Oryctolagus cuniculus: one gene and its partners. The protein of the gene in region 1 interacts with the protein of each later gene in a biochemical or structural test. Links are inferred from orthologs where the notes say so. Each region holds a gene or a part of one and is shown in the gene's direction. Other genes may lie near its edges.

Region 1 (4,239 bases):
TGGGAGGATGCTCCCAAGAGAAGCCACAGGCCTTGGGCCTGCTCACAGGCTGGCTGACGGAGTGCCGGCTTCTTACAAGTGGTAATCCAGTGGTCTGGGAAGGGAGCACCTGGTGCAAAGGGATTAGGAGGAGGGCACAGAGGGAGAACTCCTAGGGACAGCGCAGTTACTGCCTCTGCGGCCGGAAGTTCAGACAGGTTCCACGCCGATTGGAAAAGCACACACTGGAGATCTGATAAGGAGTGCAAGGCGCTGTCTGTCGCTTTTGGAAAATCTTATACAGAGAGAGAAGTACCATAGATTGCACGAACGCTTCTCTTCCCTTCAACAGGGATCAACCCACCTCTGCCTCCGCCCGTGCCAGCCCTCCCCTCCCCACGGGGGACTCTGGAGCAAACCTGAGCGCTCCGTCATTTCAACCACAAACGCTCCGGCCTGTGTGTGAAACATTCAAGGGGCATTTTCAAGGTATCCACTGGGAAAGCGAAGCCCACTCTGATTAAGGCGGGAATTGGGAAGACCTCAGTCCACCTGGGGCGAGTCCGGGCTCCCCAGTGCGCACCTGCGGGACCTCGGCTCAGCCCCACTCCCCAGCTCCAGCCCCCAGCTTCCTCTTTAGTAAAATGTAAAATGCCACCGATATGGGAACGGAGAAGCACTAACTTCCAGCCCAGCCTCTCCCTCTCTCAGGACCCCAGCCTCCACCCCCCACTCCCACCCCCGGAGGCCGCCCTGCCTTCCATCCGCAGACGCACAGGCCCACAGAGTCATTCTGGACACTGAGCAAACAGACTTGAGGTTTGGGTCTCTCACCTCTCCTTTCACTTCCCCGTCTTTCTCTCGGTTCCCACGGCGCGCAGAACCCACCCTGCCCGGCGTCCCCTCCACCACGGTGCCGCCTGCCGCAAACTCAAGCTCGCAAGTTGGTTTCTGGGGGCCTCCTGAGCCCCGGGGCTCGCGATAGCAACGGGGAAGCGCATGGTGCGTCCCCCGCCGCGGCCACGGCAGAGGGTGGCCGGGCCCTTCTCCCCGCGCACCGCTGCATCCCTGGGGCAGAGCGCATCCCCTAGCCCGAGGCCGCGATCCCGACCCGGGAGGCTGGGCCGCGTCCCCTTCGCCCAACGCCCGGATTCTATTCTTAGGTCGGCAGGCCGCCGGCTTTCGCTTTTCCTTTTTTCCAGGGCGCAGACCTCCGGCGGGCGGGCCGCGGTGGGGTCGCCGTGGGCTCCGGCCGCGCCGCCGCCACCGCTGCCTACGGGATCCGGCGCCGCCAGGGCGGGTCTCGCGGGCGTGGGCGCGCCCCAGCCGGGCCGCGGATCCACGCTTGGGCCGAGCCCCACGCAGGCCGCGGGCCCGGGGCTCGGGAGAGGGAGGCGGGCCCGGGAGAGGCAGGGCCGCGCCGGGCGGGGCCGCCTTCCCCGTGGGCGGCGCGCGCGTGCGGCCGGGGCGCGGCGGGCCTCGGAGGGCGGCGCGCGGGGCCGGCCCGGGCGCAGGAGGCCTCCTCGGGGCGCGGAGGGCGGCGGCTCGCAGCCCGAGCCACCATGGCCAGTGGCGGTGGCAGCAACCAGGGCAGCGACGAGGACGAGGAAAGTCTGAAGAAGTTGCTGGTCAAGCTGAACAACGTCCAGGAGGGCAAGCAGGTCGAGACGCTGGTGCAGACCCTGGAGGACCTGCTCGTGTTCACGTACTCGGAGCGCGGTAAGGCGGCCGCGCAAACTTTGCGCCTCGCTGCGCCCCGAACCGGTCCCGGCTCCTGCGCTCCTGCCGCCCGGCCTTCCCCGGGGCGCAGAGCGCCAGGGGCCCTGACTCTGCCTCTCCTCCCTCACCCTCTTGTCTTGCAGCCTCAAGGCTGTTTCGGGGCAAAAGCTTCCACGTGCCTCTGCTGATCGTGTTGGATTCGTATATGAGGGTCGCGAGTGTGCAGCAGGTGAGGGCGCCCCCCTACCCCACCCCGCGACTCCTTCTGCTGGGAACCCGACGTTTCCTGCCTGCCGGCGGGGAGGCCGCATCCCCGGGGCTGCTGGGCCGGGCCGGGCCGGGCCGAGCCGAGGTTTGGCCTCCGGAACCGCTGGCTGTCTTGAGGCTGGAGGCATTGTTGGGGGATCCTGAGCTTGACTTAACGGGCTGAGGGCCCGGCACGCTCCAGTCCGCTTTCCCAAGCCGCTACCCAAAGCTGGCTGCAGGGGTTGGGTGGCCGCGGGGACTGCTGTTGGCAGGAGGAGCCAGCCCCCCGTCGTGTCTGGGAGGAACCCCTCTGAACGGCTCCCCCACGTGCAGCCGCGGTCCAGACCAGACCGTCTGGGAAGGGCGAGTTTGACCAAGGGGCGCAGGGAACGGCAATCAGACGCAGTTAGGCGGCTGGAGGTCTGCGCCCTGGCTCTCCGCGGCTGCTCTTTCCAGTCTGAAGGCTTCCGCGCCTTCGTGAGATTCGGGCTGCGTTGTAGGATTTAAAGGAAGTGATGTTTGCTGATTGCCTCACCTGTTTGAGTTGGTGCTTCGCTAAGGTTTGTGACCTAAAACCTCTGTAGGAGTGAAACTTCGAGACCCTGCAGCATGGGGGAACCCAGAAAGGCGCCGAAGGCCTTCGGGGCGTTCAGGCAGGAGTCAGTGAGCCTTGAGAGTGGTTGACCCCAGGACGGTTACTCCCCAAGGTGATGACGTCCTGTGCAGCTTTTGAGATTTGGGGAACTGAGAGCAGTCCTGTGCCCCGCGGGTCAGGTCGCTGGGGGGAGGGGCCCGCGCACTGATCTGGCAGGCTGCAGCTGGGAGAATGGCAGTGTCTCTCCACCTTGGGTCTGTCTCTGTACCTGCAGCTCCTCTGCATGAGCCCTGGGCCCTGGATCTGCCTGCTTCCTATGAGAACACTTACATCTAGAGTAAATGTTTATTTTCTTTCAATGGCGAAGTGTTTGCCATCTGACAGTTGATGTTCTGTCTGCTGTCAAACCAAACCCAGAGGGAAGGGCAGGCGTGGTCAAGAGAGTCCTCATTTTAGCTCTCGAGTCTGGGTAGTTGTTAGGGGCTGGCTGATGGTGCTTGCTGCTGTCACCCACACCACCCTTCTTCCAGCATGTGCTGGGTGTTCTGGAGTCTCTCTCCCAGTTCTCTCCCCGGGATCCTGCACAGCCTTGGGTATGCACTGTGGGGAGGAGTGCTGCTCTGGGAAGCCCAAGGGAGCCAGGAACATAGTCCCTGATTGTTAATTTGAGAAACTGCCCGAGCCTGGGGTCGTTAGGCAGGTCCCTCGGGGTCTTTGCACAGAGTACCAGAGGCAAAGCGTGGTGCACAGTAAATAAGGGATGATGGACATGGCACCTTTTGATTCTCACAGGGTCTCACTGCTCGGAGAACTCCTGCTGGGTATCTTATCTAGCGGGAGCTCAGTGGACATTATGAGACTCCCTGGGGGTCTCAGAGTTGGGGGCTTGAGACTTTTCGCACCCCCAGGTTCTCTTTCCGTCTTGAGCTGCAGTAACTGCAGAATGCGTGCCAGGCACAGGCTCAGTGGTTTGACATCAGGACATCAGTTTGAATTAGGTGGTCTTATCTGAGGGATGTGGAAAGGGGCCTCTCCACGTAAAAGCAGGTTTCTCCCTCACCAGATTTTTTTGACTGTCGGCGCAGAAGACTTGAATGCTTCACCTGCTGCAAGTACATATTTAAGGAGTTAGGTGCCTGACTCTTCCAAAAGGGCTTTCTCAGAAGCCCGTTAATGTGACACTGCAGGCTCTGAGTTCTTCAGGACCTTTGTGTATTTTACGAATGCTTTAAGTAGATGACTGTTGGGAGACCTGGTAGCTAGGCCAAGTTCTCTCTCGCTGCCGTTCATTTCCTCTCTGCTCCTCAGTATTACTTTTTATCCGCACAGTCTCAGCCACTGAAAAGGGGGCGCAGAATCAATGAAAGTGGCTTACAATCTTGCTAACCTCTGCACTCCATTGTGCACTGATGAGATGCTTGGGTTTATAGGATCATTATCCTAAAGTGAAGCTACTGATGTGATTGCGCAGTAGCTGTGCAGAATAGGGGCCTTCTTCGGAAGATAAGCTTTTAATGGGCTGGATGAATGCATCGATTGTTACCTCTGCTGCTCTGCCAGAGATGGTCTTGGCTCACACACGCTCCGCCGAGCTCCTGCAAGCTCGGTGACTGCATCTTTCTGCAGAGCCGTTGTTGATGCTGCAGTTTCAACAACGAAAACAGCACAGGTTTTCTCCCTGTGTCAGCCAGGCAGGTACA
Region 2 (4,256 bases), on another chromosome or scaffold:
GGGGGGGGGTTAGGGGGTCCCGCGCACGCGCAGTCACCGGTTTCGCTCTCCCTGCCGCCCCCTCCCCGGTGAAGACGGCCCCGGGCTGCAGGACCCCTGCGAGAAGGACCCGATGGACGCCCTGGAGCCCATGACGGCGCAGCAGCGCGAGGACGTGACGGCCAGCGCGCAGGTAGGCGGCGCGCCGGGGCGGGGCCGGGGTGCAGGCGGCCGCCCCCGCCCCTGCCCCCGCCCCCGCCCCCAGCCCTGACGGCGCGCCCCCGCAGCACGCGCTGCGCATGCTGGTCTTCCGCCAGATACACAAGGTCCTGGGCATGGAGCCGCTGCCGCTGCCCAAGAGGAGGCCCGGCGTCCGCTTCCGCAAGAGGGAGCGCGAGGCCAGCAAGGCGAGGGAGGCCGCCGCCAACGCCGACAAGAAGCGCGGCCGGCCCGGCGCGCAGGGCCTCGCCTGAGCCAACCAACCGCCCGCCCGCCCACCCGGCCCCGGCCCTGCCCCCGACACTGGCCCCGCCCCCGACACTGGCCCCGCCCCGCCCCGACACTGGCCCCGCCCCCGGCTCTTCTCAACGCTCGCGCTTCGCCCGGGAGACGCGGCACCTGCCCGGGCCCCTGCGTGCCTGCCCTGCCCCCTGCCCGGCGCGGACTCGCCATGAGGGGCGCAGCCGCCGCCCTGCCCCGGGGTGGGGTGGCTGAGGCCGGGGGAGGACGCGGGCCGGGCCCCACCCCGCACCGCCGAGTGCCTTGGAGGTCAGGGCTGCCCAGGGTGGGAGCTCCCGCCCCGCTGCGGGCACGGCCGCCCCTCGCGAGCGTTCCTGGCCCGGGGACGCGCATGCGGGCCCACCCTGGGACAGGGTCCACCCTGAGACAGGGCCCGGCGGCTCCCGGGGGCCGGGGCAATAAAGGAGACGTCTTCAGCCGCCACCGTGCGCTGTGTGCGGGCTGGGCTGGGTCGGGGGGAGTCCAGGGGCTCTGCCCGGGGCTGTCCCTGTCCTCGCTGCAAGTCGGGCACGCGGCCACACCGCCGGGAGGCCTGCGGGGCCGGAGCGGGCTCTCTGTGTGGAGGGCGGGCGTGCCCGAGCCCCGCAGCCCTCCCTGTTCACCCCGGCCCCGGCGGGCGGCCCGACCACTCCGCTCGGCGCTCCCCACCCGGAGCCCCCTGGCTTCCTTAGGGCCCGCGGCCGGACAGTCCGCCCGAGGCTGGACTTGCCGTTCTAACGCCCCCTGCGCCGGCAGACACCCCAATAAGCAGCTTCCGCCGGGCTTCGGCCCCGCCCCCAGCCCCCGCGTCCTGCTGCCCCGCGCCGGCCCCCGCTGCAGCAGTGTCTGCCTTCCGGAGCGCGGGCACCCCGGGCCCGGCGCCACGAATCCCGACCGCTGCGGGTGCGGGCGGGGAGCCGGTTGCTAGGCGACGCGGCGCGTGGGGGCGGGATGACGCGTGCGTGGGGGCGGGGTTGCAGCCCGGCTGGCGGGCGGTGCGGGAGACAGAAGCGGGAGCGCGGAGCCGGCGGCTGCGTCCCAAGGTCGCGGGCCCGCGGAGGCGCGGCCCGGGGAGGCGATGCCGCCAGCCGGTGCCGCGTAGCCCGCCTCGGCGCCCGCGGAGATGCCGCAGGTGAGCGGGCCGGCGCCGGGAGGGCCGCGGGCAGGGCGGGCGGGAGATGGGCAGCGGCTGGAGGCCGGCGTGGCGGCTTCGCGCGAGGGGCGCCCCCGTCCGTAAAAAACCCGACAAGCAGGAAGATAGAGGAGGAAACGCGAGGCCCTCCAGCGCCCTCTGCATTTATTGGGGAGGCAGGGCGAGGGAGACGAGCTCGCTCCCCGAAGGCCCACGGCCGGGCCGGGCCGCCCCAGCGCTGCTTCCAGAACGCTGCAGCGCCCCTCCCAGCCTCCGGCCACGGCGCGCCCGCTGTCCTGGACGTGCCCCGTGGGTGAAGCCCACGCGTGGCCTCTGCCCGTTTCTCTCCCGGGCTGAGACGTCCTCGGGGCGCTCAGCGAGCGTCAGAGCTTCGCCCCTGCTGGGCGCCCCGCGCTGTGGGCGTCCACGTCCCGCGCGTGGAGAGCGTGGCCTGTCCGGCCGCCTGCATGCCTTGCTGGGCGCTGGGATCCCATGGCCGTGAGCCGCCCCCCAAAGGGGAGGAGGTTTGCGAATTTCGCCAGCCCGGGCGCTGGGCGAGCAGCCCACGTGTGCACAACGGCCGTCCCAAAGAGCGCGCGCGGCCCCCTCGCAGTCCCCCCGCCCCGGGCGCGGGCACCCGCCGCTCCCGCCGGCTGCCCCCGTGGGCGCAGGTTGGAGACCCCCGGCTGCTCCACTTCCGGTCCGGCTCCCTGCAGCTGGCCCAAGCGCCTGGGCCCCTGCACCCACGTGGGAGACCCGGAGGACGCTCCTGGCCCAGTGCTGTCCGCTGCGGCCATCTGGGGAGTGAACCAGTGGATGGACGGTCTCTATGTAACTGCCTTTCAGATAATTTTTTTAAAAAGTCCGCAAAGTAGAATAAAAGATGAATGGGGGGGGGGGCGACAAGACTGGGTGTCGGACCCAGGGAGGCCAGCAGTGTCCACTGTCACACGCCACGGAGCCCCCAGGGCGCCAGAAAAGGCCGCAAACTTCCAAGAGGCGGGCGGGGAAGCGGGCCCAGGGCCCAGGTCACGCACACAGGGAGGGCAGGGAGGGCCTCGCGTGCCCAAAAACGGGCCCGTGCACAGCCGGGGGGGGGGGGTCGGGGGCGGAGCCGCAGACGCCTGAAACCCTGGCGATTACCAACTCCCGGGAGCCGAGAGGACCGAGCCGGAGATGCGGAGGTCGGGAAGACAAGGGGCTCGCCGCTGGGGGGGCTTCCAAACGCTGATGGGCGTGCAGCTCTGCCCGCCCCACCTGCGGGTCCCGTGCCCGGGGACGCAGCCCTGGAGCAGGGGCTCGGAGCTCGCCCTGACGGACGCCTGTCACCTGCCCCTCGCCTCGGTGCCGGCGGGCCATGGGCCAGGCCCCGCGGTCGGAGGCTGTGCGGCTCCGGCTGGTGCCTGGAGGGTGATGGCCGTGACCCCGGGGGTGTGGGGGAGGGGGGCGCGGGGGCCGTGATGTGTGCGGGGGTGGGGGCTCAGGCAGCCTCCATCCGGTGGCGGGGCGGGCACTGGCTGCATTTTTCCTGGAAGGAGCCCGCGGAGTCCCCTGGCAGGGGGCGGGGAGCTAAATTTAAAGACGTGGTAACTGGGGCAGTGGGGCCTGGCCGCCGGCCGCCGCCCGGCTCAGCCCCACCGCTGCCTGCCTGGAGCGCGCGCTGCGGACACGCTGTGCACCAGCCTCGTCCACGGCCTGCAGGGGACCCAGCCGGGAAGGCGGCGGCTGAGTGGCAGCCCCGCGGAGCGCACTGGGCAGAGGCCCTGGGGCAGCGGCCCGCCCACTGGCTTGGAGGAAGAGCTGCCCGGTGCTGCTGGCCTCACCATCTCCCCTGGGCTCTGGTCCCAGGGTGGCCATTGACTGGGTTCCACCCAGTGGGACGTGGAGAGAGGCGCACCTGTCGCTGCCCCTTCGCACTTCTCGTGGGCTGGAATGCAGATGGGACCGATGGAGCTCATTCAGGCGCCAAGAGGCCGCGTTCCTGGCCTCGCCCGACCGGTCGGCTTCTCCCTCTGCTGCCGACCCTCACCCCATTCCTCAAAGTGCCTGGGCCTCAGCCGTCGGGGTTCCGGGGTGGGAGGTGGCCCCTGCGTCCTGCGGGATTCGCGAGAACCTGGGTGATGCCAGTGGTGAGAACCAGAGGGGCGGGCGCAGGAGGGTGAGTGGCAGACGCTGGGGCCGCTGCACGTGGGGCACGGGGGAGGGAGGGCTACCGTCTCCTCCGTGTCCCCTGGCTGCTTGGCGAGGGGGCCTCCCTGCGAGGAAGGGGCCGGGGTGCGTGGCCGGCTCGCGCTGGGGGGCAGGGGAAACAGGAAGAGCCACCGAGTCGAGATTGCGAGAGGCCACGTCCTGGACGCCTCCTGTCCCCGGCCTGTGGCTGTGACCCCGAGAGGAGTCACGGTGCCCTGGGACGCCGGCCCCACGCCTGAGGCCCCTCTGCTCCTTCCCTGACTTCCTCCCGCGTCCGCGGGGTGCGGGGGGGGGGGACTGACACGGACCCCAGAGAGAACGTGGTGGCGTGGAGCGCGGGCCGCAGGGTGTGCTGGGGGCGGCCGGGGCCCTGGGCGCGTGCACGGTGGCGCTCGCACACATCGCCCCACCAGGGGGCCTGGGCGCTCAGAGCCCCCTGGTGCCCGCTGCGCTGTGC
Region 3 (3,597 bases), on another chromosome or scaffold:
GCAGCCACTGTGACCGGGATGTGGTGTCCGCGTGCCACAGCGCCGGCCCCTCAGCCATGCCTGACCGTGATGTGCCCGCGTGCCACGGCGCCGGCCCCTCTCAGTCCTGTCTGGGATGTGGTGTCCGCGTGCCACGGCGCCAGCCCCTCAGCCATGCCTGACCGTGATGTGGTGCCCGCGTGCCACGGCGCCGGCCCCTCTCAGCCATGCCTGGGATGTGGTGTCCGCGTGCCACGGCGCCGGCCCCTCTCAGCCATGCCTGGGATGTGGTGCCCGCGTGCCACGGCGCCGGCCCCTCTCAGCCATGCCTGGGATGTGGTGCCCGCGTGCCACGGCGCCGGCCCCTCTCAGCCATGCCTGGGATGTGGTGCCCGCGTGCCACGGCGCCGGCCCCTCTCAGTCCTGTCTGGGATGTGGTGTCCGCGTGCCACGGCGCCGGCCCCTCAGCCACTTCCAAGCGCACACTCCGGTGGTTACGGGACCCTGACCCAGTGCAGCCCCCGTGCGGGGTTGGGGCACCCAGGGGCCTCCGGGGTGCGGCCACGCAGTCCAGCCGTGGCTGCCCGGCCAGCGGGGCCGGCGCCCTTCCCTGAGCAGCAAGTCCCTGTGGCTCCTTGCTTTTTGGTGTTTTTTGCTTGTTTTGAGATTTTATCCATTTGAAAGGCAGAGTCACGGAGCTTTGCCCCCTGGGTCACCCCCCAGCTGGGCCGGGCCAAATCCAGGAGCCAGGAGCTCCGCCCGGGTCCCCCACGCGGGCACAGCCCCCAGCACTCGGGCTGCCCCAGGCCACAGCAGGGCGGAGCAGCCGGGGCTCCAGCCGGGGGCGGGCCGGCCACAACCCACGTGTGCCACGGTGCGGCCACGAACCCCTGTCCCCACCATCTGTGCGTGGAAGTGTGGGCTCTGTGCACCCGAGCGGATCGCTGATCAGACGTGGCTCGGCTGGGAGGGGTCGCGCCACGTCCTTCGCTGTCTGATTCTAAGAGGGACGCTGACCACGCAGATGTCCACCACGGCCGAGGCCGGGCCGGGCCGGAGCCGGCAGCCAGGGGCCCTGCGTCAGCAGCAGTGCTGGCGTCACGAGTGGAGCTGGCGCGTGGGTGTCTCAGCCCCAGCGCGCGCGTGCACGCGACTCCTTGATAATCTGCCTGTCCATCTATGCTGGACACCGGCCACCCAGCGCTGCAGCTGCTAATGTCACGTGGTTGTGTCCGGCTGGATCCGTCCCCTCCCTGCCACCATGGCCCTCTGTCTGGAGTCCGACCGCCTACCAGGCAGCGGGGGCTCCAGTTGGGTCCGCGGTGCCCCCTGCAGAGCCGGAACCAGAAGTCCTCTGCAGCCTGCAGTCCGCCCTCCGAACAGCAGAGGGCGCGCGTCCGCCGCAGGGTAGGCGGAAGCGCGTGCGCGCGCACGGCGAGAGGCGGGGCACGCAGGCGGCCTCGCGATAACTGCGCGTGCGCGAGCTGCACGTCCTCTTCCGGGAAGCCGACAAGATGGTGAGTGGTGCGCGCTGGCTCCTCCGCGGGGAACGTATCGGGCGCCATCCGCGCTCTGCGGGGACCGCAGCGGGGTCCCGGGCTGCCGGAGGGACTCTGCGGGTCCCCAGGGCCGCCGGATGAGGGGCGCGGGCGGGTGCGGGGCGACCCGGGGCGGGGAAGGTGCGAGGCGGCCGGCTTGTCCCGGCTGAGCCGCCCTCGGGGGTCTCCGGCCTCCGCTGACCCCCGGGCCGGCCCGCGCAGGCGGAAGTCGAGCAGAAGAAGAAGCGGACGTTCCGCAAGTTCACCTACCGCGGCGTGGACCTGGACCAGCTGCTGGACATGTCCTAGTAAGCGGGCGGGGCTGGGGCCGGGGTCGGCGAGGCCGGCGCGGCGCGGCGCGGCGGGGAGGGGGCGGGCGCCCGGGACGACCCTGCAGCTCTGGCCGGGGCTTCGGGGGCCGGCGTGGCGGGGAGGACTCGGGGCTCAGGGAGCCGGCGTGGCGTGGCGGGAAGGGGTCCGGACGCCCGGGACGACACCGCGGCTCTGGCCGGGGATCGGGGCTCGGGGCGGGGGTCCGGGGTCGGCGAGGCCGGCGTGGCGTGGCGGGAAGGGGTCCGGGCCCCCGTGACGACCCTGCAGCTCTGGCAGGGGCACCGGCGTGGCGGGAAGGGGTGTGGGCGCCCGGGACGACCACGGGGCTCTGGCCGGGGCTCCGGGGGACTCGGGGCGGGGGTCGTCGTGGCGGGGAGGACTCGGGGCGCCGACGTGGCGTGGCGGGAAGGGATCCGGGCGCCCGGGACGACCCCGGGACTCTGAGCGAGGGTCCGGGGGGACTCGGGGAGCCGACGTGGCGTGGCAGGAGGGAGTCCGGGGCTCGGGACGCGACTCTGGGCGGGGGCTCGGGGCGGGGGTCCGGGACTCGGGGCGGGTCCTGGGGACTCTGGGCGGGGGTCCGGGGTCTCGGGGCGGGGGTCGTCGTGGCGGGGAGGACTCGGGGCGCCGACGTGGCGTGGCGGGAAGGGATCCGGGGCTCGGGACGGGACTCTGGGCGGGGTCCCGGGGGGCTCGGGGCGGGTCCGGGCTCCGGTCCCCCGCCGACCGCGCCCCCCGCCCGCAGCGAGCAGCTGATGCAGCTGTACAGCGCGCGGCAGCGGCGGCGGCTGAGCCGGGGCCTGCGGCGGAAGCAGCACTCGCTGCTCAAGCGGCTGCGCAAGGCCAAGAAGGAGGCGCCGCCCATGGAGAAGCCGGAGGTGGTGAAGACGCACCTGCGGGACATGATCATCCTGCCCGAGATGGTGGGCAGCATGGTGGGCGTGTACAACGGCAAGACCTTCAACCAGGTGGAGATCAAGGTGAGCGGGCGGGGCGGGGAGTGGGGGGCCGGGGCGGGGATGGAGGGGGCGGGGCGGGCCTGACGCCGCAGGGGGGCCGGGCCTCCCCCTGCCCGCCGCTGACCCCGCCCGCCCCCCCCCCCCCGCAGCCCGAGATGATCGGCCACTACCTGGGCGAGTTCTCCATCACCTACAAGCCCGTGAAGCACGGCCGGCCGGGCATCGGCGCCACGCACTCCTCCCGCTTCATCCCGCTCAAGTAGCCCCAATAAAGCGCGCTCCCGCGTGGCCGTGGTCTGCGTCTCCTTCCTGGCGGGCGGGACCCTCGTCCTCACACCGCGTGTCCCGTGCGCCGCTGGGCAGAGCTGACAGGATCCCGGGGTGGGCGCGGGCTGCCATCCGCGGCGGCATTGGGGGGGCGGGTTCCGCGTGGACGTGGAGCCACGGGGAGGGGGGAGGTCCCGTCCTTCCCGGCAGGAGGGGCCAGTGGCAGGTGCGATGCGGCAGGCCCCGCCCACTGAGGCCGGGACCTCCTGGCCGCAGCCCCGCCCTCGCCCCGGCTGCCCCACTCGCGGGCCCGTCCCTCTCGCGGGGGACCCGGAAGAAGCCCCCGGCCGTTGTGGGCGTGAGGAGTGAGCCAGTCCCCGGAAGACCTGTCTACCTCTGCCTTTGAAATACACACAGTGCTGCCTCGTGGGGAGCGGCCCGCTGCGCGTCCCAGGGCTGCCCGGCTCCCGCCGCTGCCCCGGCAAGGGGTGGGGGGGATAGAGTCGGCGCCCGGGGCCCAC
Region 4 (3,500 bases), on another chromosome or scaffold:
TGCCCGGGGCGTGTGGGGCATTGGCTCACCTGTGTCACCCGTCTGCCGTTGTTTGGGGAGGCCCTCGCTTCCCCGAGTTCCCGTGTTCCCCTGTTTACATTATCGTGCGGTGTCTTCTGGTGATGGGTTTGTAGTGTGTTGGGGGTGCTTAGTCTGTCTGAGCCTCACTTTGGGAGTTTTGCTTCGCTCTGCCAAGGGTGGGTGGTACCCCTGAGCCCTGTCCCCTGCCGCCAGCCTCCTGTGCCTGTCCCAGTGCCAGGTCCTCCCGCACAGCTGCTCTCACGTGAACTTAGGGTGCGTTTGCAGGCCCTGTGGGTCAACAGGAGGTGTAGGCTGTGTTGTCGACTCTGCGCCCGGCTCAGGGGACGGTAGATTGCTGTGAGTGGGCTGTAGCCACCAGCGTGTGTCCGGGCGCTCGGGGCCTTCCCTGTGCTGCTGGCCTCCGTGTCCAGCCAGCACCTGGCGCTGTCTGCAGGGGCCTCGTGCCCAGCCCTACAGCCTGCGCGGCTGAGACGCGCTCCAGTGCCAGCCGTGCTTCCTAGCTCCAAGTGTTCCTCTTTCTCATTGCAGCTATGCCAAGGGCGACCTGGACATCTCCTACGTCACCTCCCGCATAGCCGGTATGTCTCAGCACAGCTCCAGACGCTTGGCCTTGTGGGCAGCCACAGATTTACCCGAGAAGTGCCCTGGGGCCTTGTCCTAGAGGGTCAGCCTGTGTCCAGCACAGTGGACAGAAGTCTGAGTTGAGGGAGGGAGGGACACACAGCCAGGCCTGCAGCACCCGGTCTCCTGTGGGTGTCAGGCTGAAGTGGCCTGTGCTCAGAAGCGCTCCCCAGGAGTCTTGGCGGCTGCTTTGACCCGAGCTGGTCAGCCTGGTGACAGCTGACTCGTCTGTGCCGGGCCAGTGGTGCAGGCTGCTGTCCATGGAGAGGGCATGGGAGGCTGCCTTGCTGGTGCCCCTGCTGTGGCCCGGCTGAGCTGGCACTGCTCACTTTGTTCAGTGATGTCATTCCCGGCGGAGGGCGTGGAGTCGGCCATCAAAAACAACATAGAGGATGTGCGGCTGTTCCTGGACGCCAAGCACGCGGGCCACTACGCCGTCTACAACCTGTCCCCCAGGACGTACCGGGCCTCCAAGTTCCACAGCCGCGTGAGTGCTGGGCTTTGTCACGCTGCAGCAGTGGTGTGGCCGCTGCAGCTTCAGCTGGGGGCTCTGGTGGCTGGGGCTGCGACAGGAGCCTTGGAGGAGCAGCTGGCCTGGGAGGCCGGGGGCGGTGGCAACACTGAAGGCTTCCCTGCACCCCGAGGCTTCCGTGGCAGAGACGTGGCCTGGGCTGTGCCTGCAGCTGCCAGGAGCCCCAGTGCCAGGAGTCAGGGAAGACCGCACTGTGTGGGGGCGCCGGGCTGAACAGAGCCTCCCACAGGTCTCTGAGTGTGGCTGGGCTGCCAGGCGGGCGCCCCTCCTGCACAACCTGTACAGCATCTGCAGGGACATGCATGGCTGGCTCCGGCGGGACCCCAAGAACGTCTGTGTGGTGCACTGCACGGTGAGTGCCGGGCGGCCGTGCCGCGTGGGACTCCCTGCATTGTTGGGCTCTACTAGGTGTTCTTAACCTGGGCGTGGTGTGGAGGAAGGTGTCACCAGAGTACAGCCCTGCCTCGGGGAGCCCAGGGCCTGTGTCCAGGCCGCAGCTGGGGGCCCCATCCCTGCGGGCAGAGCCACTGTATGCGGAACTCCCATGGGGAGGGACGGCCCTGTGTGGCCTACACAGGGGCTGCTCGGCCTGTCGGCCCCTGCCCCTGCCCCTGCCCCTCCTTGTCTGGGGCCAGGGGTAAGTCCTTCCTCCAGATTTCCTTCCTGCGGGCCAGGGTCAGGAGTGAGCCTCGGCTGCTGGGGGTCGCGGCTGTCAGTCGGGTGTGCAGATGCGGGCCAGGGTCAGGAGTGAGCCTCGGCTGCTGGGGGACGCGGCTGTCAGTCGGGTGTGAAGAAACCTGAGGCTGGCTTCCTAGAACAAGCGTGGAGGCTGAAGCTGAAGCAGCCTTGTGCACGCGCGCACACACACACACACACACGCACACATACACACACACATGCAGGGGGAAGGACTGCGTGGCAAGGGCTGGGTCTGGCGGCCCCTCATAACCACTCCCTTGTGAGAGCTGACTCAGTCCCCAGGAAGAACCCTCTCCAGGATCCCCTGGGCCACTCTGTGTGGCCACAGTGGGCTGGGCTTCAGCTTCCAGCGTGTGGCTGGTGGCTGTGGTGCAGCAGAGCCAGTGGGGGCTGGTGGGCTGCGCTCCCTGCTGAGGTCTCGTTCTCTGTGGGCTCGGCCCGTGGGAGCCCCACGTGGCTGGTGAGGAAGTCTGCAGGAGGCATGCTAGCCCGCGCCCACCGCCTGTCTGTCCATCAGGATGGGAGAGCTGCGTCCGCCGTGGTCGTCTGCGCTTTCCTGTGCTTCTGCCGCCTCTTCAGCACCGCGGAGGCCGCCGTGTACATGTTCAGCATGAAGCGCTGCCCGCCGGGCATCTGGCCATCCCACAAAAGGTAGCGTGTGGCCTCAGCACCGTGGCCTGAGCTGCTGCCCTCTGCAGGCCGAGTCTGCGCCACAGCAGTGCCGACTCAGCTGCAGACTGGAGCCTGAAGGGCCCGGCAGGAGTGGGCTACGCGTGGCAGTCGGCTGGGGCGCCCAGCCTTAGGTGGCCGGCTGTCCGGCTAGCTCCTAGGCCCGAAGTTTTCCAGCAAGCATCTGAGCTCGGCGTGGCTGCTGTCCGCCCCACAGAGCCCACGTGGCCTGGGAGATGCTGTGTGAGGCTGTGCCGTGGACCCTGCGTGGGCAGATCACCTTGGAGGCAGGGGTGTGTGCCACAGGTAGCGCGTCTTCTCTGTGGGTCCTGTGTCAGGCTGGGTTCGCAGGCGGTGCCCACGTTCCACGGCCACCCCAAGTCGTGTCTGCCCGGAGTGGGCTCCCACAGCGGCCTGGCTCCTTCCTCGCAGGGACACGTGGTGTCACTCCCACCCTGACAGCTGGCACGGCCTCCCCCTGCCGAGGCCCCGGGGCAGACACGGCCAGACGCTGCATTGCAGGCCGAGTGTGCTGCCTGGGGCTGCCGCAGGCGGGCGAGGCCGCGTGCTGCTGAAAGCTCGGAGGGCGCTCGCGGGGCGGTGGAGGAGGCGCTGTCCGCACAGCGGGGTCAGGGCCCCGGGCAGGACTGGGGGCTGGGATCCAGTGGAGCTGTTTGAAGTGAAGGCGTGCTCACGCGTGAGGAGCGCCTTCCCAGGGCTCCTGGGACGGTTGGGCAGTGCTGGGGGTGAGCCGGGGCGTGCAGTGCAGTGCCGCAGCCCTCACCGGGCCCAGCAAGAGCGGCAGAGCCGCAGGAGCTGCCTCCAGCGGCCACACGTGCAGCTGCAGCCAGGAGATGTACAAGGTGGGAGCAGAGGAAGTAATGGCTGACAGGTTTCCCAGAGGAACCACACGTTCAGTCACCAGCCCAGGAGGCCG
Region 5 (3,500 bases), on another chromosome or scaffold:
TTCCTGTTCATTGAAATCAGAATGTGAATAGATAACATCTGTTTCTTTTCTTCTTTAGTCTCTTTTGGAAAAGTTCTTGATCCCTAATGCTTCACAAGCAGAGAGCAAAGTCTTCTATTTGAAAATGAAAGGAGACTACTACCGTTACCTGGCTGAGGTTGCTGCTGGTGATGACAAGAAGGGTATGGTGTTCTCAAACCTGTTGTTTGGATTTCTGTAAAATAACCTAGTGTGGAAGCTGTCTCTTTGAAGTGCAAATTTTTGTTGATGTTGTTAATTGGTTAGAGGTACTAGTAAGGAGCCATAATGCTGTTGGGCTTTCTGGAGTCCTGAGGATATGTATTTACAGCCTGTTACTAGTGTTCTGAAATGTATACTTTCTGGGAAGCCAGCTTTGCATACAGGATGTTTCTTCAGTTTAAGAAATAGTGGCCATAGCAAAACTGGTTTAAAACAATGTAGCAATAATGAGATTACACTGATTTGATCTTGAAATTAACCAGTGGCCAGTGTGGTATCTCAGGAATATTCAATGAAAGATTTGATTTGAGGGGTGAGAATGAAGTACAGACTTTTTAAGTACATTTCAGTGTGTTTTATTACTCAGGGATTGTGGATCAGTCACAACAAGCATACCAAGAAGCTTTTGAAATCAGCAAAAAGGAAATGCAACCAACGCATCCTATCAGATTGGGTCTGGCCCTTAACTTCTCTGTGTTCTATTACGAGATTCTGAATTCCCCAGAGAAAGCCTGCTCTCTTGCAAAGACAGTATGTATTTTACCTATTATGTGGACAGTTAGCAAGCTTTATTATTACATTTTATTATTTGAGCACTGAAACACTTCTTTTTTTAACATAGGCTTTTGATGAAGCCATTGCTGAACTTGATACGTTAAGTGAAGAATCATACAAAGACAGCACGCTAATAATGCAGTTACTGAGAGACAACTTGACAGTAAGTACATGGCATATCATTGATGACTCATGCTGAAAAGATTGTTATTTTACTACAAGGAATATTTCTGACCTTTTTTTTACTAGGTAGATTATCCTATCTACTATTAAAACCATATGAAGAAGAAAACTCCCTTCTATAAACTGAAATATTACATGAAGAGATAAAAATGTACTGCATTCCTTTGATTAGTTGCAAGTCTGTTGTGAAAATTTTAATTCTCAAAATAATTTTGTGATTCATGGTTTTGGACTTAATTCACATAGGCTGTTTATTTTTCATTTTAAGTCCCTCATTCTTTCAATTTTAGACACAAAATGCTCTACAAAATGTGAGTGGAAATTGTTTTGCCTGGTTTCTGATTTTAAAATGGCTAATTTATGGGAGATCATGATCTTTTTGTTATAATCCAGATTTTAAAAAGATATTAATGATGTTATCACTCCAAAAAAAAATAGTAATTCTTTAATAATGTTAAATCACGTTGAAATTCGGAGAGCAATTGAATGATCTTCTGTCTATTGGTTTGCTCCCCAAATGACTGCAATGGTTAGGGCTGGGCCAGGCTGAAGCCAGGGGCCAGGAGCTTCATCTGTGTCTCACATGGTGTCAGGCGCCCAAGGACTTGGGCCATCTTCTGCTGCTTTCCCAGGCACATTTGCGGTGAGCTCGATTTGAAAGTGGAGCAGACAGGACTTGAACCACCACTTATAGAATGCCAGCATCGAAGACAGTGGCTTAAGCCCCTCTGCCACAGTGCCAGCCCCTAAATTCCAATTTTCTAAAAGTAGTTTGATAAATGAAGCCCAATGTGACAGTTGGTTTACATGTGTCCTTGGCTGCTAAGGTTTTCCCATTCTTCTCCTTCAGATAAATACTAAATTTAAAGTTTTGAGGCTTAAGTGAAAAAATGGCCAGGCATCTGCTATGTGTCAGGTAAAGAGGTAGGGATTGGTGATTGTTGTGGGGAGCAACTCGGACTAGACTAAGTTACTGGAATTAAGACTTATTCTATGCATCTGCTCTCCCACAATATGGCGCTGGGAGAGGAGGAGACAGCTTCTACACAGCTGCCTCCAGTTCAACCAATAAACAGCAGGACCTGCTCCTGATTGGAGGAGAGCAGCGTACTCGGCGTGTGGGTAGCAGAGTTGGGATTGGTGGAAGAGGACTATAAAGGAGGAGAGAGACAACATGCACCGGGAACATCTATCTGAAGGAACACCTGTGCAGCCCCCGAGAGAGCCGGCCGGCGGTGTGCCGCTCCCCCACGGAAGTGGGGAAAGTGGCTAGGGGGAACCGCCCTTCCACGGAGGTGGAAGCGATGGTAGCCAACCCGGGAAGAACCAGCAGCAAACCTGGGGAGGGCCGAGCAGACAAAAGAACAGCGCAGGGTCCTGTGTCGTTCCTCCACGAAGAGGGGGAGCGACAATTGTTATTATTGTTGATACGGGTTTGTTAGCTTTAGGGCCATTTGTCTTGGGGGCTATTATACCTTTAAAGTTTTCCAACTTCATGCTAGTCCACTGCCAATATTCTGTAGAAGAACAGTTCTATATTCTAGAGTAAAACTTGTCTGGAGAAGAATTATTAAGAATTTTATTTTTTAAGCTAGTAATCTTGCTCATTTTTAAAAACTTTTTTTTTATTTAAAAGGTAGAATGACAGAGGGAAAGAGAAAGATCATCACTATATTCCTAAAATTGTGCTTATGGAATACATGAAGTTTGTAAAAAGTTTCTTTGCAGGGGTAGAAATAAAAGTTAATTAAAATAAAAAAAAGAAAGAAAGAAAAAGACCTTCCATGCACTAGTTCACTCAAAACGGCCACAACAGCCAGGGCTGATCTGGGCCGAACCCAAGAGTCAGGGTTCCAGTCTGCGCGCCAGTGTTGGATGCCAGCCCCTTGAGATGACATTGAAAAGGTGGAGCCTAAGACTTAATTGTTGTATTCTCATCACTAATCATTACAGGTTGATTATCTGTTAAGTAAAGAATTTCGCCAAAGCCTAATTTGTACTTGAATCTGAATCTGGTTGATCATCATCACGTCACCCTGGAAAGAGAAATGCCCTGTATCAAATCCTTACATGTTTATATGGAGAATTTCTAGCGTCCTTTAAGAGTAGAACTAGAAAGACACATTAGAGACAATTTCCTGTTGACTCACAAAACCCCTTGTTTAATAGGACTTGCAGTCTCCAACTGGCCATTAGTTTTGTGAATTTGAACATTAGTCTTCTTTCCAGGCTATACATATATTTAATTAGTAAACAAATGAAGTTACAGATGATTTGGGAAAAGAAAGTACTTTGCAGGGTTTTCTCCCCACCCTTTTCAGTGTGTAAGTCAAATGAAATTTAAGATTACCTTGAGTTAACATTTAAATTATCTCTGATAACCACTGTAAAGTACTTTTTTAAAAAACTATTTGTATATTTATTTACTTATTTGAAAAGCAGAGTGATAGAGGGAGAGATTGATCAGTTTTCTATCCACTGGTTCATTCCCAAAAAGCCTACAGTAGCCAGGTTTGGACCAG
Region 6 (4,187 bases), on another chromosome or scaffold:
TCCTTGTGGGCTTTCTCTGGAGTGCTGATCATTCTCTTGACAAATACTCAGTTAAAGAAAGTGATCTTGGCTAGAAACGCTGCTTTTCCTAGTACACATCAATGAATCTAGGCATCAGTGAGAGAAACTGAGGCACACTGACTCATGGACCCCATTAAGCTGGGAAAGCAAAGGAGGAGGGAACAGGACTCTTGGTTTGTGAGTGCAAATCCAAGGTCAATCTTTATGCAGCCTAGCTAGGCTCATCTATTGTACTAGGGAGGCTACTTCCTTTCTCATCCTTTTATAATATCAGAGTGGGAAAGGACCTTAGAAACCCAGGAGTCCAGTCCTTTCTTGTTACACGAGGGGGAACTCGGTGCCAGAGAAGGGAAGGGACTTACCAAGAGTGCACAGTGGTCAGAGTGGGTTAATGGAAAGTAGAACCAGGTGTCCTGCTACCCCTCTCAATTGTGCTTTCCACTATCCCAAGATGGCTCACAAGCCCTGCGAGTTGGAGTTTCTGCTTTCACAAAGGATACTCAGATCACTCCTCTGCACGGACGCTAGAGAAGAGAGAAAAAGGGCTATGGCCAGTTCCTTTAACCTGGACTTAGCCAGAGTCCTCCCGCAGTCTAGAATACTGCTGTCCTGGGACTTTGTGACCTTGACAAGAACTATAAAGGGAACTGACAGAAATACTCCAAGCTCCAAGATACTGGTGTGTGTGTGTGGGGGGGGCTGCATCTCACCTGAGGGAATTATAATCTCATCAAAAAGTGAATGTGTTAGGGGAGGGGCTGAAGGATGGGGCACTGATTTGAAGAAGGTAGAGACTGGGATTTGGAGGAAGGCAAGTGGGCAGAGGACAGATACGGAGCTAAATTCTGATGAAAATGAGGACTGAACAAGAATGGGGAGGAACTATGATGGGAAGAGTCTGACAGAAGTGCTGGTGGGGCTGAGGCAGTTTATTCCGGAGAATAGCAGTTTACTGGAGATATGGGATCTTTTAGGGATAGCAGGAGATAACCTTGCAGCCCTAGGGAGCAGAGCTGAGAATCAAGGATGGGAGGCACACCCACAGGAATAACTTTTTAAGAGTCTGTCTTGAGACGGAACAAGCAGCTTTGATTGGTAGTGAGCTGCCCATCAGTGGAAAGTTGCAGTCAGGGATTGCAGTAAGCAACTGCCAGGGTGCGGCCCAAGGTCTAGCCCCGAATGGGGGCGGAGTCGGGACCGGATGGCCGGGACTTGGAGGGTTAGGGGCTTTGAGTGAACTGAACTGGGAGAACGGCAGGGTGGGTCTGAGTCGGGAATGGGAGTCCCCCTTGGGCTGCCCAGGGCTCAGCTCGGCCCCCCACGTGGCCGGGGTGGCCAGGCTGGGCCGGGCTGGGCTGGGCGGGGCGAAGCCGGCGGCCGGCGGGGAGGCGGCGCGAGGGCGGGGAGCGGCGCGGAAGCCGGGCCACATAAAGGAGCGGGCGGTGCGACGGGGGCGGCTCTTTCCTGGGTGGGGTTTATGAAGTCGTGGCCCGTTAGCAGGAAGCCGAGCAGTCGCCCCGACGCTAGAGAGGGACCCAATTCGAGTCCCCGAGCCCACGAGTCCGAGCGGTGTGTACTGCGTGCTCCGCGCTGCCCGACAGTTCCCAGCCAAACTTCGCCAACTCCGCCGCCTTTGCCGCCACCATGCCCAAGACGGTGAGTGCGGGAGTGAGCGCTGTCGACCTCTGGTCGGTCCCGCAGACCCTCGTAGCCCTTTGCTGGTGGCCAGGGATTTGGCCGGCTACCAGTCCTTCTGGGACGCCGCGCCCTCAGCCATGGCCTGGGGTGGGGAGGGGAGGGAAGGCGAGGGGGGTCTCGGGGTTGAGGGGGTGTCCAGGCTGGAAGTGTGGGAAGGGCGGGGCTGGCCTTTTTCTGAAGATCCACTTTCCTGCGTCGGGGATGCGGCATTGAGGAAGGCTTTATTGGGGGCTTAGGGTCTCCAGCTTCCCCCAAAGGGCCGCGGACGCAGGGGGGATGACTGTGGTTCAGAAGAGAACACTTTCCCCTGCCCAGGAATTGGCGCGTTTCTGGGGAAAGGCTGCCCCAGTCCTGGATAGGCATGGGAACCTGGGAAACTGGGTGGAAGGAGGGAGCGGCTCAGGGCGGATCCCGCACCCCCACTCACCTTTCCCCACAGCTTCCCCGGGTGGCTCCAGCTGTTTCCCACTGAGAGGAAAGATGTGGGGGTTCATCATCTAGGTTGCTCCCATGTACCCAGGAGCGCCAACATTTCCCTAGGGACCAGACTGAGGAGAGGCCTACGCCACTTCCTGGGAGAGAAGACCGGTTTCTCCTTCCCTCCACCCACCAAATCCCTGCCCTTGCCATTACTTAATGCCTCTCTGTCCTCTCCAGACTGTGCTGAGAGGTGTGAGTTCTCTGCTGTGGGGCCACACCTTTCTAGAGCGGTGGTTGATCCACCCCACTGGCTGTTATGAGAAGAACAGAAGCCTCCTGGGAGTGGGGCCTAGGGGGGCCGGATGCCCAGGAGGGAGGGGCGGGGGAGGGGTGTGCCTGACTAATGAGCTCTGCTTGCTTTTGTGCAAGTCATGCCAAATGGCTGCTGGGGCCCTTCCCTTGTTCACGAAGGCCTGGTGAGCATCCTGGCTTGAGTCCCTTAGGCCAAGCAGCTTGTTGAGCTGGCCTAGACTATGCAGTGTTTCCAGACTTGTCTCCCTAGGACTGCCTAAGGCTAGTAAAGCTGTGACAGTGACAAGGAGCCTTGAGAAGGGTGGAGAGACCCTGGGGATGAGAGGAGAGTGGGGAGAGCAGTTCTTTGGGTGCGTGCTGAGCTTTCGTTGCCATATTGTCATATTCCGGCCTCACTGCCAGGTCATTCTTGCCTCTCCAGAACTCTGTCCTTCAGAAACACCACACTTTCAACAAGTATGCACTTCCACCATCTCTTTTAAATTGCCGGTGGTTTTATGACATAGGGCATTTCTGTACTTTACTTCCAAAAACCTTCTGGCAACAAAATGAGAAAATGGTTTTGTAAATTGTTGGGAATCCACTGTCACTGCCAACACAGAATATTATACAGATCCTTCTGTTAATCTCTCTTTGTGCCTATCTCACTGTGGTTGACTTCTGACTCCTCTGAAGGTGTGATTTTGCCTGAACAGATAGATGGGTGGATCTCTGGGAGTAGACTTTGCTCTCCAGTTCCTTATGGAATATCTCATTCTCAATTCTGAGATATTCCACTCTTTTTTTAAAAAATTATTTATTCTAATGGCAGAGAGAGAGAGAGAGAGAGAGAGCAAGCGATCATCTGTTCTTGGTTCACTCCTCAAGTATTCACAATACCTATGCCTAAGCCAGGCTAGAGCCAGGATCCTGGAACCTTCCATATTGGTCGCACAGACACAAGTACTTGGAACATCCTCTGCTGCGTTCCCAGATGCATTAGTAGGAAGCTGGATTGGAAGTGGAGTTGAACTGGCACTCTGTAATGGGTTGTAGGTCTCTCAAGTGGCAACTGTGCCACAATGCCTGCCCCAATATCCCACCTTAAACAGGACTTGATAAGCCTGAAAATTGCATCAAAATTGCTTTAACCATCCCATCTCAGTCAAAAGTTGCAAAGAAGATGATGTGCTGATTTTTTTCCTGGGTGTGGGGAGAGATTAGAGTATGAGTTGTTTGGGATCAGTCCTAGGGTACTAGAAGCACCTGAATAGTGAAGGTACTCCTATGCAAATTACTGAAACTTGAACGAAATTGGAAGAAAGGACTTGAATTTTGATGGACTGGAAGTATTAGAGAATTTTCCATCCTGTTAGACCCAAGGAATTGTTAAATTTTATAGAAAATAACTGTGTCATTCCCGTTAAGACCACAGAATCCTAACCTGAAAGGCACTTCAGAGGCTCTCTGTCTAGTATATCCCTCTTAAAGCATTGATGCTTACGCTTACAGGAAAGGACCTACCTAAGGACATATGGTGTCTGAGCCAAGATTGGGGTCCAAGTGTTATGATTTCTGTCCCACTGATCACCTACTCTGGACCCATGATTGGGTTCTTTTTTTTCTTTTAAAGATTTTATTTATTTATTTGAAAGGTGGAGTTACAGACAGAGAGAAGGAGAGTCAGAGAGAAAGATCTCCCAATTGCTGGTTTACTCCTCAAAAGGCTGCAACTGCTGGAGCTGGGCCTATGGAAG
Region 7 (3,500 bases), on another chromosome or scaffold:
CCTGGGCAGCTCGCGGTGGGCCAGAGGCCTCGTGAAGGGGCAGGTGTGAAGTGTCGTGAGCCGATGGCTCACTTAGGGACCGCGTGTGGGTCTGTCACGGGGCCGTTCTGTCTCCACAGCGTCATGGCCAGCCCGAGGACCCGGAAAGTTCTGAAGGAGGTCAGGGTGCGGGACGAGAACAATGTGAGTCGGGGCCGCCTGCGGCTGCCGTGGGCCACGGCCCTCCTGTCGCCCGGGGCCGTCTGCCTGGCCTTCCTGCTGGACGCTTTCCCCTGGGGCTGCTCGCCCCTCGTGCCGGCTTCCTGGCAGGATCAGCGGCCACCCCGCCCAGGCTTGCCTGCCGCCTGGGCCTCCCTCCTCCCCCGGGGTCCTTGTGTGTGGCGTCGGGCTCTCTGGCCTGCCCCGAGCCCCCGGCGAGCCGTGTGTGGCCCCCTCTGCAGGTCTGTTTTGAGTGTGGCGCTTTCAACCCGCAGTGGGTCAGTGTGACCTACGGCATCTGGATCTGCCTAGAGTGCTCGGGGAGACACCGCGGGCTGGGCGTGCACCTCAGGTCAGTGCCCGCCTGCACCCGTGTCTGGGGGGGCCGGGGCGGGGGTCGCCCCGCACGCCCCCCGGTTGGTAATGAGGCCAGTGCCCACCTCCGGCTTCCAGCTTCGTGCGCTCGGTCACGATGGACAAGTGGAAGGACCTGGAGCTGGAGAAGATGAAGGTCGGGGGCAACGCCAAGTTCCGGGAGTTCCTGGAGTCCCAGGCCGACTACGACCCCTGCTGGTCCCTGCAGGACAAGTACGAGAGCAGGGCCGCGGCCCTCTTCAGGGACAAGGCAAGTTCTCACGCGCCGGCCGTGGGGCTGGCCAGGGCAGTGGGCGGCCCGGGGCCGCGATTGCAGGGGCGACGAGGAACTGCGGCGTGCGGTGCCGCCCCTCCTCTCGGGTCAGGACGTCGGAGGAGCGGTGGAGCCGTGGCGTAGTTCACGTGGGGTCCCTGTACTCTGGAGCTGGAGCTGCACCGTTCACCAAGCACGGCCAGACTGAGGCGGCCACGGCCCACGCTGGCCCACGCTGGGCGACGCTGGGCGACGCTGGGGCCTGGGGGAGGGTGGGGCGCGTGGAGGCGATGCACACCCTGACCACCCGTGCTCCCCGTCAGGTGGCCACCCTGGCTGAAGGCAGAGCGTGGTCTCTGGAGTCGTCACCTGCCCAGAACTGGACCCCACCCCAGCCCAGGACGTCGTTGGCCACTGCCCACCGGTAGCTACGCCCCTAATCTTCCTGGCCCGGCCCTGGGCGCAGCTCAGGATCCCCGCGTGGCTGTGGTGCCCCCAAAATGCCCAAAGCAGGACGAGCCCTTAGCAAGCAGGGGCGCGAAATAAGTGGGGTGAGAGCAGTGTCTCCCCCTGCCCAGCGTGGGCGCCGCTCTCCCTCCCAGACAGACACTGCCCCCCTGCAGCCCGGGGAGCAGGGCTGTGTGTCGCCAGCGCCCTGTCCCTCTGAGTGTCGCCGTCCTCCGGGGCGGCCCTGTGACCGCTGAGCTGACCCCAGAGTGGCTGTATCCCACGTCCCGCTGCGGGGAGCGCCCTGTGTGGGGGCTGCAGTGGGCGCTGGGGCCACCCCTTCCTCTCTTCCCCTCTTCCCTGCCGCATGCTGGTGCAGGGCTGCCGGGAAGCCAGCTCTGTGCTTTTTAAAAAGATTGAGAAGCAGAGCAACAGCAAAGGGAGACAGAGACCGTGGATCACTCTCCAGGTGGCCGCCTTGGCCAGGTCTGGGCAGGCTGACGCCAGGAGCCAGGAGCTCCGTCCACGTCTCCCACACAGGTGCAGGGACTGGGTCACCCTCTAGATGGCCACCACGGCCAGGTCTGGGCAGGCTGATGCCAGGAGCCGGGAGCTCCGTCCGGGTCTCCCACACAGGTGCAGGGACTCGGGTAGTTGTGCCCTTTGACCCAGCAGCCGATGGGGTGCTGGCAGCACAGGTGCCGCAGTGCTGGGGCCCTCAGGCCCCTACAGCTGAGCCCAAGCAGCCTTTCAGACAGCTGGGGCCGGTGTGACCCGAGCCCCGTCGCCGTGCCCGTGGCCTTGCTGGGGCTGTCGGTGTCACTGGCTCTCGGTCGCAGGGCCTCCGGGCAGACTCAGAACGCGTCCGCGTCCGCAGACAAGGCCTTCGAGGACTGGCTGAACGACGACCTCGGCTCCTATCAGGGGTGAGGGCTCCCCGGCTGGGGGTCCCGTGGGCAGGGCCGGTTTCTCTGTGGAGGGTGTGGGGTTAGAGGTTGACTGGCGAGCCCTGGCCAGCCCAGATTTGAGTGGAGGGAGAGGGCCCTTCCCCTGGAATCTGCCCATCAGGGAGTCGCCAGGTGAACCGTCCTGGTGGCTGGGACCTTCTGGAGACGGACAGCACGGCTGTGGCTGTGGGCCCCTGCACTCCGTCGGGCGCAGGCGCGTCGGGGTCCGTGCCGCAGCCGCCGGGCTGACGTCAGCGCTCGCTTTCAGGGCCCAGGAGAATCGCTACGTGGGGTTTGGGAACACGGTGCCGCCCCAGAAGAGAGAGGACGACTTCCTCAACAGCGCCATGTCCTCGCTGTGCTCGGTGGGTGCCGGCTGCAGCGCGGTGCGCGGCCCCTGCCCCGCCCCCAGTGCCGTCCAGCCAAGACACGGATCTGGGCTGGGGTTTCTTGTTCTTGAGGTTGATGTGTTTGACAGGCAGAGTGACAGCGACGGGGGATAGAGCTGGAGGGCTCCTCCGGCTGCGCGGTCACTGCCAGGCCTGGTCAGGCTGATGCCCGTGCTGGTGCCGGCGACGCGGCGTCACCTTTGTTCCCTGAGGGCACTTTGCTTCCAAGACGGATTCTCACCCTCTGGTGACGCCTCTGAGGCCCACGGCAGCCACCGCGTGCAGCTGGCGCAGCCGTTCCTCGACGAGGGGAAGGCTTTTTTTTTTTTTTTTTAATTTCTTTTTTATTTATTTGAAAGGCAGAGTTACAGAGAGAGTAAGGAGGGAGCGAGCGAGAGAGAGATCTTCCACTGGTTCACTCCCTAAATGGCTGCAAGGGCACGACTGGGCCAGGCCACAGCCAGGAGCCTCTTCCGGGTCTCCCACATGGGCGCAGGGGCCCAAGCACTTGGGCCACCTTCCACTGCTTTCCCGGGCCACAGCAGAGAGCTGGATGGGAAGTGGAGCAGCCGGGACTGGAACAGGTGCCCACGTGGATGCTGGCATTGCAGGTGGTGGCTTTACCCACCGTGCCACAGTGCCGGCCCAGGGAGGGCTTTTTAGACTAACTCAAAGTGAGGTGCAGAGACGGGCTGCGGGCGGTGAGCAGGTGTGGTCCTCAGAGCCTCACGCGGGGCCTGGCGGTCACACGGGGTTGGGCGGTCATGCGGGGCCTGCCAGTCAGCGGGGCCTGCCAGTCAGCGGGGTCGGGCGGTCACAGTGAGGCGGCCACCTTGCCATTCTGTGCCTCTCAGGGTTGGAGCAGTTTTACCACCGGAGCGAGCAAGTTCG

What was found.
Region 2: the proteins of LRRK2 (region 1) and MATK interact on a protein array, tested with the Homo sapiens proteins (2 studies listed by BioGRID and IntAct, with this or other methods). The link is inferred for Oryctolagus cuniculus from reciprocal best matches to the Homo sapiens genes LRRK2 and MATK.
Region 3: of the proteins of LRRK2 (region 1) and RPS15, one has a biochemical effect on the other in vitro, tested with the Homo sapiens proteins (2 studies listed by IntAct). The link is inferred for Oryctolagus cuniculus from reciprocal best matches to the Homo sapiens genes LRRK2 and RPS15.
Region 4: the proteins of LRRK2 (region 1) and GAK interact on a protein array, tested with the Homo sapiens proteins (3 studies listed by BioGRID and IntAct, with this or other methods). The link is inferred for Oryctolagus cuniculus from reciprocal best matches to the Homo sapiens genes LRRK2 and GAK.
Region 5: the proteins of LRRK2 (region 1) and YWHAZ interact on a protein array, tested with the Homo sapiens proteins (3 studies listed by BioGRID and IntAct, with this or other methods). The link is inferred for Oryctolagus cuniculus from reciprocal best matches to the Homo sapiens genes LRRK2 and YWHAZ.
Region 6: of the proteins of LRRK2 (region 1) and MSN, one has a biochemical effect on the other in vitro, tested with the Homo sapiens proteins (9 studies listed by IntAct). The link is inferred for Oryctolagus cuniculus from reciprocal best matches to the Homo sapiens genes LRRK2 and MSN.
Region 7: of the proteins of LRRK2 (region 1) and ARFGAP1, one has a biochemical effect on the other in vitro, tested with the Homo sapiens proteins (3 studies listed by BioGRID and IntAct, with this or other methods). The link is inferred for Oryctolagus cuniculus from reciprocal best matches to the Homo sapiens genes LRRK2 and ARFGAP1.

The regions. Positions count from the first base shown.
Region 1 is NC_091440.1:131,746,094-131,750,332, forward strand, and holds the start of LRRK2 (leucine-rich repeat serine/threonine-protein kinase 2), read left to right. Parts: upstream 1-1,439; 5' UTR 1,440-1,541; coding exon 1,542-1,698; intron 1,699-1,841; coding exon 1,842-1,927; intron 1,928-4,239. UniProt on the Homo sapiens protein: Serine/threonine-protein kinase which phosphorylates a broad range of proteins involved in multiple processes such as neuronal plasticity, innate immunity, autophagy, and vesicle trafficking.
Region 2 is NC_091447.1:59,377,422-59,381,677, forward strand, and holds the start of MATK (megakaryocyte-associated tyrosine-protein kinase), read left to right. Parts: upstream 1-1,456; 5' UTR 1,457-1,609; intron 1,610-4,256. Other genes in the region: ZFR2 (zinc finger RNA-binding protein 2), read left to right, coding at 75-172, 267-452.
Region 3 is NC_091447.1:58,779,087-58,782,683, forward strand, and holds RPS15 (small ribosomal subunit protein uS19), read left to right. Parts: upstream 1-1,278; 5' UTR 1,279-1,493; coding exon 1,494-1,496; intron 1,497-1,739; coding exon 1,740-1,825; intron 1,826-2,595; coding exon 2,596-2,830; intron 2,831-2,958; coding exon 2,959-3,072; 3' UTR 3,073-3,097; downstream 3,098-3,597.
Region 4 is NC_091433.1:225,045-228,544, reverse strand, and holds part of GAK (cyclin-G-associated kinase), read left to right. Parts: intron 1-570; coding exon 571-620; intron 621-1,001; coding exon 1,002-1,150; intron 1,151-1,424; coding exon 1,425-1,547; intron 1,548-2,411; coding exon 2,412-2,545; intron 2,546-3,500. UniProt on the Homo sapiens protein: Associates with cyclin G and CDK5. Seems to act as an auxilin homolog that is involved in the uncoating of clathrin-coated vesicles by Hsc70 in non-neuronal cells. Expression oscillates slightly during the cell cycle, peaking at G1.
Region 5 is NC_091437.1:126,339,366-126,342,865, reverse strand, and holds part of YWHAZ (14-3-3 protein zeta/delta), read left to right. Parts: intron 1-58; coding exon 59-182; intron 183-607; coding exon 608-771; intron 772-862; coding exon 863-958; intron 959-3,500.
Region 6 is NC_091453.1:45,583,947-45,588,133, forward strand, and holds the start of MSN (moesin), read left to right. Parts: upstream 1-1,387; 5' UTR 1,388-1,665; coding exon 1,666-1,677; intron 1,678-4,187. UniProt on the Homo sapiens protein: Ezrin-radixin-moesin (ERM) family protein that connects the actin cytoskeleton to the plasma membrane and thereby regulates the structure and function of specific domains of the cell cortex.
Region 7 is NC_091442.1:567,002-570,501, reverse strand, and holds part of ARFGAP1 (ADP-ribosylation factor GTPase-activating protein 1), read left to right. Parts: intron 1-119; 5' UTR 120-123; coding exon 124-183; intron 184-440; coding exon 441-550; intron 551-651; coding exon 652-823; intron 824-1,149; coding exon 1,150-1,250; intron 1,251-2,112; coding exon 2,113-2,199; intron 2,200-2,488; coding exon 2,489-2,585; intron 2,586-3,463; coding exon 3,464-3,500. UniProt on the Homo sapiens protein: GTPase-activating protein (GAP) for the ADP ribosylation factor 1 (ARF1). Involved in membrane trafficking and /or vesicle transport.